Linked DNA regions of Caenorhabditis elegans. The protein of the gene in region 2 interacts with the protein of the main gene of each other region in a pairwise test. Each region holds a gene or a part of one and is shown on either strand. Other genes may lie near its edges.

What was found.
Region 1: the proteins of mbk-1 (region 2) and dnbp-1 interact in a two-hybrid assay, tested with the Caenorhabditis elegans proteins (one large-scale study listed by BioGRID).

Annotation. Positions count from the first base shown.
Region 1 is NC_003282.8:13,976,823-13,981,628, reverse strand, and holds the start of dnbp-1 (SH3 domain-containing GRB2-like protein), read left to right. Parts: upstream 1-1,781; 5' UTR 1,782-1,789; coding exon 1,790-1,899; intron 1,900-1,947; coding exon 1,948-2,025; intron 2,026-2,099; exon of another isoform or gene 2,100-2,120; intron 2,121-2,205; exon of another isoform or gene 2,206-2,226; intron 2,227-2,471; coding exon 2,472-2,560; intron 2,561-2,647; coding exon 2,648-2,909; intron 2,910-3,033; exon of another isoform or gene 3,034-3,054; intron 3,055-3,140; exon of another isoform or gene 3,141-3,161; intron 3,162-3,695; coding exon 3,696-4,155; intron 4,156-4,208; coding exon 4,209-4,673; intron 4,674-4,781; exon of another isoform or gene 4,782-4,802; intron 4,803-4,806. Other genes in the region: gei-18 (GEX Interacting protein), read left to right, coding at 1-90, 215-407, 452-542.
Region 2 is NC_003284.9:14,819,377-14,826,305, reverse strand, and holds mbk-1 (Dual specificity tyrosine-phosphorylation-regulated kinase mbk-1), read left to right. Parts: upstream 1-1,765; 5' UTR 1,766-1,771; coding exon 1,772-2,116; intron 2,117-3,283; coding exon 3,284-3,382; intron 3,383-3,433; coding exon 3,434-3,503; intron 3,504-3,572; coding exon 3,573-3,676; intron 3,677-3,723; coding exon 3,724-3,899; intron 3,900-3,953; coding exon 3,954-4,133; intron 4,134-4,180; coding exon 4,181-4,377; intron 4,378-4,438; coding exon 4,439-5,247; intron 5,248-5,327; coding exon 5,328-5,638; intron 5,639-5,832; coding exon 5,833-6,112; intron 6,113-6,203; coding exon 6,204-6,281; 3' UTR 6,282-6,397; downstream 6,398-6,929. UniProt on the Caenorhabditis elegans protein: Possible role in the function of olfactory neurons.

The sequences.
Region 1 (4,806 bases), on a different chromosome or scaffold from region 2:
ATTCTAAATCAGAGACAAATTCAAATAATTTACCAATTGAAATTGGAAATCAACTTGAAAGAGGAGAGCTACATGCAATATTGAACAATGGTTAGTTTTTTTTTAACTGTTTCACCAAGTTCATTAATTTTGGGCATTTTTGACACTTACGTTATATAGTTGTAAATGTATTTTTCCGAAAATCTCTTGAAATTTATTTCACTTACCACTTTAGCTCTCGCATCACAAATGACACCTAGAACAGCAGTCCTGACAAATATTGATCTTCTTGCATGGGATGCAGTTTTAGTGCTCCATGCCTTTGCGGACCATGGAACTTTTCCCATCCCAAAAACTGTACTCCTCCTAGCAGTATCAACAGAAGAAACTACTTATTCTGGGAATAGTTGTGATGGGAAAATTTTGAAGTAAGTGATTTTTATTTTTAAAATAAAAAGCAATTAAATTCCAGGCTTGTAACGAACCGCTGGATCGAAAATGGAGGAAACTATGACAATATTCCACCAATTGTAGCCAGGATTTCATATTTTATGTGCTTATAATAAAAATTATTTGTTTAAAAATTTAGTTTTTGTTTACTTGGAAATTGTGAAAAAATATGGAATTTTTAAACTTGGTTACTGCAATTTTGTTCACCGGGAAAAATTACTGTTTCAAAAGATTTGTTTAATTGAAAATCCTCATGTTTATTTGGTTCCTTTATATTAAAATTTTGATTAGAAAAATATTATTCACGAGAAAACAAAACAAGTTTTTAAGTGTTTCTGTGAAAATTTAGGGCAGATCAAGTGTAGATCACACAAAATTTTAGGGAAAATCTATAGAAATGCACATTTAAATGTGAAATTAGAAGAAGATATAATATGATCTACGTGTGATCTACTCAAATTTTTCTCAGAAACGCTCAAAACCAAAGGCTGACCGCGCGACAAAACGATTTTGAAAAAAAGTCCTCTTCGAACTCAGAGAATTTAAAATTTAAACTATATTTTGTAAACAAAAACAATTCTTTTTCCTGTTTGTTTTTTTCATCATAACTTTTTATCAGTTTTTCCGTTTATCAATTTAGGGTTCAGTTTACGAAAAAAATAAAAATATTTACATCAATTTTAAAGCCTTTTTCTTCAAAAAACTCGTATTCATTGATGACATTTTCGGTTCCTCATTATTAGTTTTTTTTTGCAGTTTTTTTCGGCATTTTCTTCCTCGATTTAATTCCCTCAATTTTGTGTGCACACAAGTGCTTTTTTTTGTGTGCGTGTTTGTTGTGTCTTGCCCCCTCCTCATCCCGTTGCGTCTCCTCAAAACATGACAAGTAGTTGAACGATAGAGCGAACTTGCATCTTTCGATTTCTCGGCTGGTGGGGCGGGCGACGTCGCAGCAGCACGTCTTCTTCTCGATGAGAATATCGATTTTTCATATCCCAACACGCACTTTTCATGTTTCAATTGTGATGGCTTTTCATTGAAATAATCCTTTTTTTACAACTGGGGTTTTTAGCTAAAAATTGGGAATTTTTGAAAAAAAGAAAATTTCACAAAATTGGTCTCTGGCTGGTCTATCGCTTACTAATTGTTTATTTTATAAAAATATTGTTTAGTTTCTCGTCTCACTGACGAAATCCAATCTAACACCATAGAAACTATAAACATTTTGCAATAGGAACTAGTGTTCTATTCGAAAATTGGAAATTTAATTGAATTTTTGATGTAATTTTCAAAAAAAAAGCTTGACTAACTCCGTCTGCGTCTGAACACTTTTTTCTCAAATTTTCCAAAATTTTGCAGTATGGCCCACCTCTCGTGGGTAAGAATTTCAAATGCCACACAAGATCCCGAAACGCGGTGTTCTGTAGCCCAAGATCAGATTGTTAAGGTGGTCCGTGAGGAGGGGGATTGGTCAGTGCCACGTGGCAGTGCCAATTTATAAAATCTTAACATTTCTAGGTGTCACATTCAAACCATCGAAGGGGTTTCCGGTCGGGTTCCCAGAGTTCTTACATTGCCCATCGTCGACCCGAAAAGGTTTTTGCTTTCTCTCTAAAAGATTGTCGTTTCACAAGATTTTGAAATTCCTTCTTAAAGGCGCACGGATTTATTTAGATGGGTCTCGGCGCGAAAAAATTTTGCGATTGTTTCTTCGTTTATTATGCGAATTTCACCGCTTTGTTTTTAAATATCAGTTTTCAAAGTACAAATACACTCTTTTTCTATAATTTAAGATTATCGATTTCCTTTTAACTTAAATGATTTTTAGCTGACCGAGAAACAGAAAAAAATTTTAATACAAATTTTCTCTGTGTTTTGAGCACTGAAATAATTTTTAACACGAAAAAAAGACTACCACAAACTTATTCGCGCGCCGAGACCTATCTGAATGAACCCGTGTGCCTTTAAAATAGCATGGCAAAATTTTGTGAAATAACAATATGCATTTCATTTTATCTGAGACTGTTTCTATATTCTTGCAGACAACCTGACGAGCAGGTGTATTGCTCAATTGAAGCTTACACCTCTATCCGCTCCGATGATCTCTCATTTGCAGAATTTTCAATCTTTGGTATATACTTTTTCCAACAATTTATTTCTCTAATTTTTGCAACCAATCAGTTAACTAACCAATTTTATCAATCAATCACATTTTCAGTAGCAAAACCGTCGCGTTCAAATCCTGGTTATCTGGACGGATTCCTGGTGAATGACAACGCTGTTCAAATAGGACGCCGTGGATTGTTACCGGAGGCACATTTGGTCAATTTGCATGTTTCTGCTGAAAGTCCGATGAAGCCGTCATTCACCACGGATTTCAGTGAGGCTGATGTCCGATTTCGGACGCCTGCCACTGCTCCGAAAGCGGCAACTTCGAATTATGCAGTGTCGCCGTACGCTAGAGCTGTTTATGATTTTCAGTGAGTTTTTACGTTTAATGAATTGAAATTTTTTTTTCAAATTCAAAAACACATTTAAAAAATTTGTCTTCCAACGTGGTGCCCACTTTCAGTTTTTTTTCGTTGATAATTTCGCTAATTTTTACCAATTTTAATGCTATCATCACTAAATTGTGCTCGAAAACCAAATTTTTAATAGAAAGTGCGTAACAGTAAATCAATATTTAAATCACTTTTCAAATATGCCAAATATTTGCATTAAACACATCTCTATCAAAAACCAAAAAGTCAGGAAAAAATATATATGGCAGTTGAAACGGGAAAAGTGTTACGCCTTTTTAAACGATTTTTTCACAAATTTTTGGATTAAATTGGTTAAAATACATAACTAAAATATGATTTTATCATGGCCGTTGTAAAGAAAAAAGTTAGCACGTGCAAGAAATAAAATATTACATGAAGATTAATTTATTTTTACAAACTTTCCATTAAAAATGTGGTTTTTGAGTTGCAGTAATAATCTTGACTCACAAAATATCTGACGCTTTATTTTTTGTCATGACTGTTTTGGGTCTATGAAAACAAGTAGAACTAGTTATAGGTAATTTTTTGTTGGCTGAGCATTTTTCAATAACATTCCTAGTTCTCGAGTTATACTCATTTAAAATGGATACTTTTTTGGCCAGTACTACTGTATCTTATTGTGAAATATTGTCACGTCAAAGTAGGATAAATAATGTGTTTTTATTCAGTTTCAAAATTCATTTCAATCTTCTCAATATTCTAATTTATCTATATATTTTCCAGAGGCGAATTTGAAAACGAGCTCTCTTTCTCTGCCGACGAAATCATCAGCTTACGTCGTCGAATCGATGCAGAATGGCTTGAAGGATCGATAGGATCTGCTCGTGTCGGAATATTCCCCACTTCTTTCGTTCAAATCATCGTTGATCTACCTGACGATGACACTACATCGCTTCAAAATAACCGACGAAGCACGACCACCGAGAATGATGGAATCGGATTTGCGAATGTTCGGCACGCGTTTTCCGGTCGTCAAGGAGATGAGCTGACTGTGAATGCTGGAGACACTGTTCGAGTACTACGAATGGTCAATGATGAATGGGTTATGTGCAAGGATCCAGATACAGAGAAGACTGGAATTGTACCTGTAGGATTTTTAGAAGTTTATCTGGATGAAGAAGATGACGATAATCAATCTTCAAATGCTATGAGGCGTGGAACTGGAGGGACCAGCGATTTTACGGTGAGACTTGAAGAAAATAGGTTTTTATAGTTAAATCAATTATTTTTTTTCAGTTTGGTAGCTCCAACAATCGTTCCTCCTTCATCTCAAATGCTGAATCCTCATCCGATTGGAGACCACCCGCTGGAAGAACAAACACCGATTGGGCAACCTTTGAAGCAGTTCCACCGGCAGCGCCTGCATCAAAACCTGCCCAAAATTGGGCAACCTTCGGCGAAGAATGGATTGCTCCAGTTCAGCTAGCAAAGACTTCAGCTCCAGCCCGACCACCACCTCCTAAGCAAAGTTCTATTCAATCACCTATCAATGATATTGGCAACGTGGCTGACATGTTTGGAATGACAGATACTCCAAAACCAAGTAACCCTGCGATCCAGTCTGCTGGCAGTGACTTCGAAATTGGACTGATTTCCGCCACCGAAGGAGCATCAAATGATGAGGATAAACGATGCAGAATCATTGAGGAGTTGATAAGCTCGGAACTACAGTTCATCAGTGATATTAATTCCTATACAGAGGTATAGTTCAGGGGTGCACGGCATTTCAGCAATCGACAATTTTATCTTCAAAAATTTTTATACTGTTTCAAAATTTTCATTTAAAGTCTGACGAAAAGTCTATGACACTAATACGTCTGGGCGTTTACTTTCA
Region 2 (6,929 bases):
TTAAACAACCGCATAAAAATTCAAATGTCTGAAACGTATAAAAAATATAAGCAAACAATTCTTATTATAAAAAAGTTGAAAGATCAAAGCGATAAACAAGTATCTTTTTGAAACCAAACATCACAAATTTCTGAATAGCTTTTGATTTTTTTTTTCGTTTTTTGTTGTATCAAGTATGTATCAAGGTATCAAGAGCACGGATTTCTTATGAACTTTAAATTTACAAATGCACTTTCAGTATGGCAGGAGTCCACCAACGGCAGCTGTCAGTAGATTTTTCTTGAGGAACTTCAATCGAATCTCCTATGATATTTTATAGTTTTTTTTTGAGTTTGGAAAGGTTTATTTCTCATGTTTTATATGTTTGAAATGGTTTCATAGAAGACTCAAAATAAAACATTTTATTTTCTGCAAGTGTTTTGTATTGTGTTAGACGTGTTTATACAATTTTGTACTTTAATATAAGTTTACTTAGTTTTTGAGGATACATATTTTAAAACGCAGCTAATTTTTAGAGTTAGAATATTTTATAGACAAACTCAAAGATTTTTTTAAAATGTTTTCAAAATACTATGTTGCTTGGCCACCTGTAATTTTATTATTTGGAAAAAAATATCCCGAGATCGGGCCAGAAAAAACGACAATAAACTGATGCTTATACACCGTAAACACGTGGTGCCAGAGTGTCTCATTTCGGTTCGATCTACGTAGATCTACAAAAAATTCGGGAGTTGAGACGCAGACTTCTCAACTGATTTCGCATGGTTAAGAACGTGCTGACGTCACATTTTTTTGAGCAAAAAATTCCCGCATTTTTTGTAGAACAAACCGTAGTGGGACAGCCTGGCATCACGTGCGTAAAGCGTAAGTTTTATTCAAGTTTTCCCATATAAATAAGTTCTTTCCCAGAGGTAGAATTCGAACATTACTTTTTTTAATGATTTCCACTTCTCAAACTATATGCGTGTTACCATGTGAAATGTTAATTCAAGATTTGTTAAAGGTTTCAGAATAAATTTTCAAAATTACAGCAAAACCCTCAATTATCTCGAAGTGCATTGAAATCTCAACAAAAAGTTCAATTTACGGGGTTCGAAACGCAAATCTTCTTGATTTCTCATGTTAAGTTTTCATTTTTATAAAATAGTTTTTTTTTCAAACCACAATCCTTAAGTTGTGGTCTTATTATCAAATATCACGTGTTATACTTTTTCAATACACCCCTTTTTAAATACATAATCCACCTGGAACTTTTTTTTCTGTAAAATGTAACTCTTTGTGGCAGATGGCGCACCTGCTCGAACCATTTCCAGCTGCAGAACTTTTTGTGTCTTTGTATCGTTCCACCGTTCGTCCCCACTCCGTTCGTCCCCGTTAACCCATGTTCCCCACTCTCTCATCAGTTGTTGAGAGCGCTGCGTGTCGCGTTGCGTGTCCTCGACTCTCTCCGCTCACCACACTCTTTCGAGCCCTCTCATTCACATGTGATCTCTCCTCCGTGTTTCTCTTTGCCTCTCCAATGAATTTTTATCGTTTCATAAATAATTGTAGTGGAACTACTTGTTTTTTTCTTGTAAAATTTAATTTTTTTTTCAAATATTTCAAATATTGCAATTTTCCGTGAATTTTAATCTTTTTCTTGTTATATTCTCTTTTGAATATTAAATTTTTATGTTTTTTTTTTTGATTTACTCTATTCTGCTCGTTCTCTTGAAAATTGTCATAATTAGTTTGAAGATTTTAACAAATTTTCAAAAAATTTCAGGAAAACATGAACACAGCAGACGTGCCTGACAATCTTCAATCATGGGGCCAACAACCATCATCAAGTTACTCAAATACCCAGCAACACTCACAAATGACTAATCTTCCGCCTATCAATCACAATAATCTTTGCGACACCGAACCGATGAACGAGGACTTTCAACTTCAAGACGTGCAAGCTGACGAACTTCAGAAGCAGCAAAAACAGCAAGAGCAGCAACACATTCAACAGCAAAATGCACAACGTTTCATTGCACAAAGCCGTCAACCACATTCCAACATTCTGAGATTCCCACAGCCACCAATCACTTCAATTAAGACGAATTCACACGCTTTCTATCCACAGCAAGAGGTTTGTAGAACGTTTTTTTTTTTGTGTTTGAAAAAATCACATCATTCTAAAATGGAATATTTAAACGCTGCTCACCCCCACATTGCTGTAAATAATTTTCATTTTGAAAAATAACAGATAAATTTCAAATTTGCAAAAATAAACTAATTATAAAATATGATGATATTTGGAAAATATTTCATTTTAATTTCTAAATCTAAAATCTATTTTTGAAAAATAAAGCTTTATGAGCCGTTGCCATTGTTACGTTGATAAAACCGTGATTCAAAAGAATCTGATTTTGAAAAAAAATAACGATTGACTGATTTTTTGTGATTAATAGAAAATTGCCGTTTTCCTGGAAAAAAATGGAAAAAAAATTGGATTCTGAAGATTTTTCGTATCATTTTTGTATCAAAATATGAACTTTTGTATTTGCAAGCTTTCAATGTTATTTTACAGTTTTAATAGTATCATCAACGTTAAGATTTAAATTTGTTTGGCAACAAATCCCATGAGTAGTAGAATTGTTTATTTTAAAGTTTCAAAATCAACTACTTTTACATTTAAAATTAACCTGTTAACTGAAGCCTACTAATTGAACATTACCAAAATTTTTGATTTTTTTTCTCAATTTGAATGGTAGTAATTTATCAAGATTTTAGGTGTTCTGCTATTAATTTTTTTAGTATTTTAGTATTTAACTAATTGCTTATTAGTTCAAAAAACAAAAAAAAAACTAGTTTAATCTGTTCAAATTTCTTATCAGTTACCGACGTGCTTCACATAGTTGCAGCAATCAATTCTAGGTTTTCACATAATTTCCTTCATCGGGTGTTCTTATGCAACAGGGCAGTAATCACTGAAGGGCGAAAGTCGAGCTTTACACTATTCCGTTCTTTTCCCTCTTCTCTCCCATCATTTCCTCTCCCCCTATCTCTTTTCTTTTCTACACACTCAACAAGAAATCAGCATTTGCGTTTGCATTGCGGTGCGGACGTTTTGTCTCTCCTGTTGTTATACTACCGCTCTGCACATTCGTGGCCATGCCCAACCTCAACAACTTTTTCAGTCTCCGAAATGATCACTTTGTCCTTTGATAGTTTTTGCCCCCGCTCCAAATTCTGCAAGCGCTTTTTCAGACTGATCCTAGAGTACCTTCTAATGTTGCAATCTTACAAGTTTCAGGTCACCCAAGTCCGGCCAAAGAAGCATCGCGTATCCATGACTAATGCAGAAGCGGCACTAACTCCCGGAATGCCTCCGGAAAAACAAGCCGCAAAGAAGGTACAGCCTAGATGATTCAACTTCTTGACACATATGTCTCAAAAGTTTCAGAGAAATATTGGCCAGTTCTCGACAGATACTGTTCCGGCTGGAATTGGAATGATTGGTATCCCGTTTGAATGTAAGTTTGGCTAGCTTTTGTGAAAATATTATAAGAATAAAAAATAAAAATAAATTGTACACATTCCAGCTACCTCAAAGCCACTCCAAATTCAACAATTCCGAAATCCTCAAGACGCGCCAGTCAGAAAACTAACCAGTGATCTCATCAAAACTTACAAGGCTATCAATGAGGTAGGCGAAGATGGAAGAGAGTCTTAATACCGCTATAAAAGTTTCAGTCTTTCTACCTACGGAAACAGGTTCGACGTGATCGTCACAAGAGTCAAGATGCCGGAAAGCCAAAGGGATCCAAGGATGGTTCCGGGGCGAGCCTGACTGACACATTCTCCATTCACAATGCGATTCCAATTACGAGTTCTGATAATCATTATCAGCAAGATGCTCATCAAAATGCGTATGTTGTTTTCGTGTGATATTTGAAGAGTTCACTTTTTTTTTTGACTTTCAGTCCTCCTCTACTTGACACTAATGCTCCGCCCACCTCAACAATGGTTGTTCCTATGCGCACAGAGACTGATCTTCAACAGCAGCAGCGACAGAAAAGTAGTCGTGGCGGTCCGTACAATAACGGGTATGACGATCAGAATTACGACTATATTCTTAAAAATGGAGAGATATTTGACAAGAGGTATGCTGAAAGCACGAAACTTATTTGACTAACAGCCTATTTTTCAGATACGTGATTCTCAGTGACACGCCGGTTGGCAAAGGATCTTTCGGGCAAGTTACAAAAGCTTACGACACGCTGAATAAAGAAGAAGTCGCTATTAAAATTATCAAGAATAAGAAGACTTTCTTCGATCAAGCTCAGATTGAGATTCATCTTTTAGAATTGACAAATGCACATGACAAGGATAATAAGTATAATATTGGTAAGTTGCATGACATATTAACATATTCAATGTTGATAGAATCAACTTTTCAAATTTTCAGTTACGCTCAAAGGGCACTTTGTGCATCGGGCTCATCTTTGCTTGGTATTCGAGCTTCTCTCCTACAACCTCTATGATCTTTTGAAGAACACCAGTTTCCGTGGCGTTTCGTTGAATTTGGCACGCAAATTTGCCCAGCAATTAGGAAAAACTCTTCTCTTCCTGTCATCTCCAGAATTATCGATTATCCATTGTGATTTGAAGCCGGAAAATGTGCTACTAGTTAACGCGAAGCGGTCTCAAATTCGTGTGATAGATTTTGGATCTTCTTGTCAGACTGGACACCGAATCTACCAGTACATTCAGTCGAGATTCTATCGTTCGCCGGAAGTGCTGCTCGGCATCGCGTACGACACGAAAATTGATATGTGGTCCCTGGGATGCATTCTCGTCGAAATGCACACCGGAGAGCCGCTGTTTGCCGGGTCATCGGAGGTTGACCAAATGATGAAAATTGTGGAAGTTCTTGGTATGCCACCAAAAGAGATGTTAGACATTGGCCCGAAAACACACAAGTATTTTGACAAAACTGAGGATGGGATCTACTATTGTAAGAAGACTCGTGACGGATACCGCCATACCTACAAAGCTCCTGGAGCCAGGAAACTTCACGAAATTCTGGGTGTGACTTCTGGCGGGCCCGGAGGTCGCCGGCTTGGAGAGCCAGGACATTCTGTTGAAGATTACAGCAAATTCAAAGACTTAATAAAGAGAATGTTGCAATTTGACCCCAAACAAAGAATTTCGCCCTATTATGTGGTTCGGCATCCGTTCTTGAAGCAGAAGGAAGAGCGAGTTCCATCTCAACCGGTGTGTTTTTTTTAATTTAATTTTTAATTTTTATTAAAATTTAAATTTTTTAAATTTTCTTTCAATATTTAATTTTTTAGCCGGTGTCTCACTCGAACCTTCAGCAACAACAGCAATTGTACATACAGCAGCCGTCAAGCCAAATGAGTCAAGTGATGGAATCTCCGTCGGTTGGATCAGTCTATGTGGAAGATAACGGGATGTATCGCCAGGCGCCTGGATCTTCTGCCAACCCAATTTCCGTCACATCATCGTTTGACGAAGGAGATGCCATGGAAGTTGATGCTGGGAGAAGACGCTTCTCTGCTCATCAGCAAAATTACCACAATCCAAACTATCAGTACTCTCAACCACAACAGCAACAGCAGCAGCAGTATCAGCAGACACAGCGGTAAGTACAAGTACAAAGTTTGGTCTCGTGTGAACCTTATGAGATTTTGGACTTTTTGGACAGCTGCTCCTATGACACAAACTCAGAGAAAATAATTGCGTCATCAGGAGACTACCAAAAATTTTGTGGTGTTCGAAATAGACAAGAAATTTTAAAACTAAAGAGAGAAAAATTATATATGTAGAAATTTCTAGAACGCAACTGGAGCAGCAGCAGAAACAGGCTCAACTCCAACAGCAGCTCCAGCAACAGCAAATGCAGCAACAGCAGCAACAGCAACAACAACGCCAGCACATGCCACAAGCGCAGAGCAGTTCCCAACAGCACCTCCAATCACGGGCGCGGCCACGACAACAGGATCAGAACGAGTGGAGGAATCAGTTTGAGCTGGATGACACGTTTCAGCAGAAGCAGCGAAAAGTTGATGACTCTGTATCGAATCAGATTTCTAGAAATCAATTCAATCCACAACAGGTGAGATTTTTTTTTGCAATAAAAAAAATGCGCTGCTGCACCCCCCACCCATCATTCAGAAAATGCCAATTATTGAAAATAAATATTTTAGGTATCGATGACGCATGGAAATGTAAATGCTAACAACCGAGAGATGGAGAAACTCGATTACCCGAACAACAAACTCTGAAGCACACAGAGTCTAATAGCTAATTTTTTTGGAAATTCTGTCAATTTGATGTAATGCTTGTTATTTTTTTTTGTTTCTGTGAACAATATGGAGTTAATAAACACTGGTTCAACTTTAGCATTTTTTTATTACTACTGTTGTATTTTCAATTATAAGTTCTCAATTTATCAATTTAAGAGGGTTTTTTTTTTGGAAGTTTTAATTAAAAATATTGGAAACATTTAAAACAAGCATGAATGACGTGTCAACAGAAAAAAAAACCTGTTCAGATATTTCGTAACTTCTCTATTTGCCAATGAGCTATCCTCAACCCAAGCAGCAGCGGGGCATTCGTCACCGACTGCAAAAAAGTACTACATACTAGAAGTTTTTCGTTCAGAATTTTCTTGCAATTTCTGCCATTTCCCCCACCGCCCGTTTGCCACCAATGTCCATCCATCCATTTCGCAACGCGACCAGGAAGATATTATAAATCTTCGACGCCTTTAGCCAATCCCCCCCCCCCCCGTCATCTCCACAGGAAAACCTGTTTTTGTTCTTCTCAAGTTCCATTCGTTTCTCTGTATTCTCTTCATTTTTCGTCCAATTTCATATAACACACCCTTTCCATCCATGTTTCTTTTTTTTTTTTAGGAGGCCCGTTTTCAT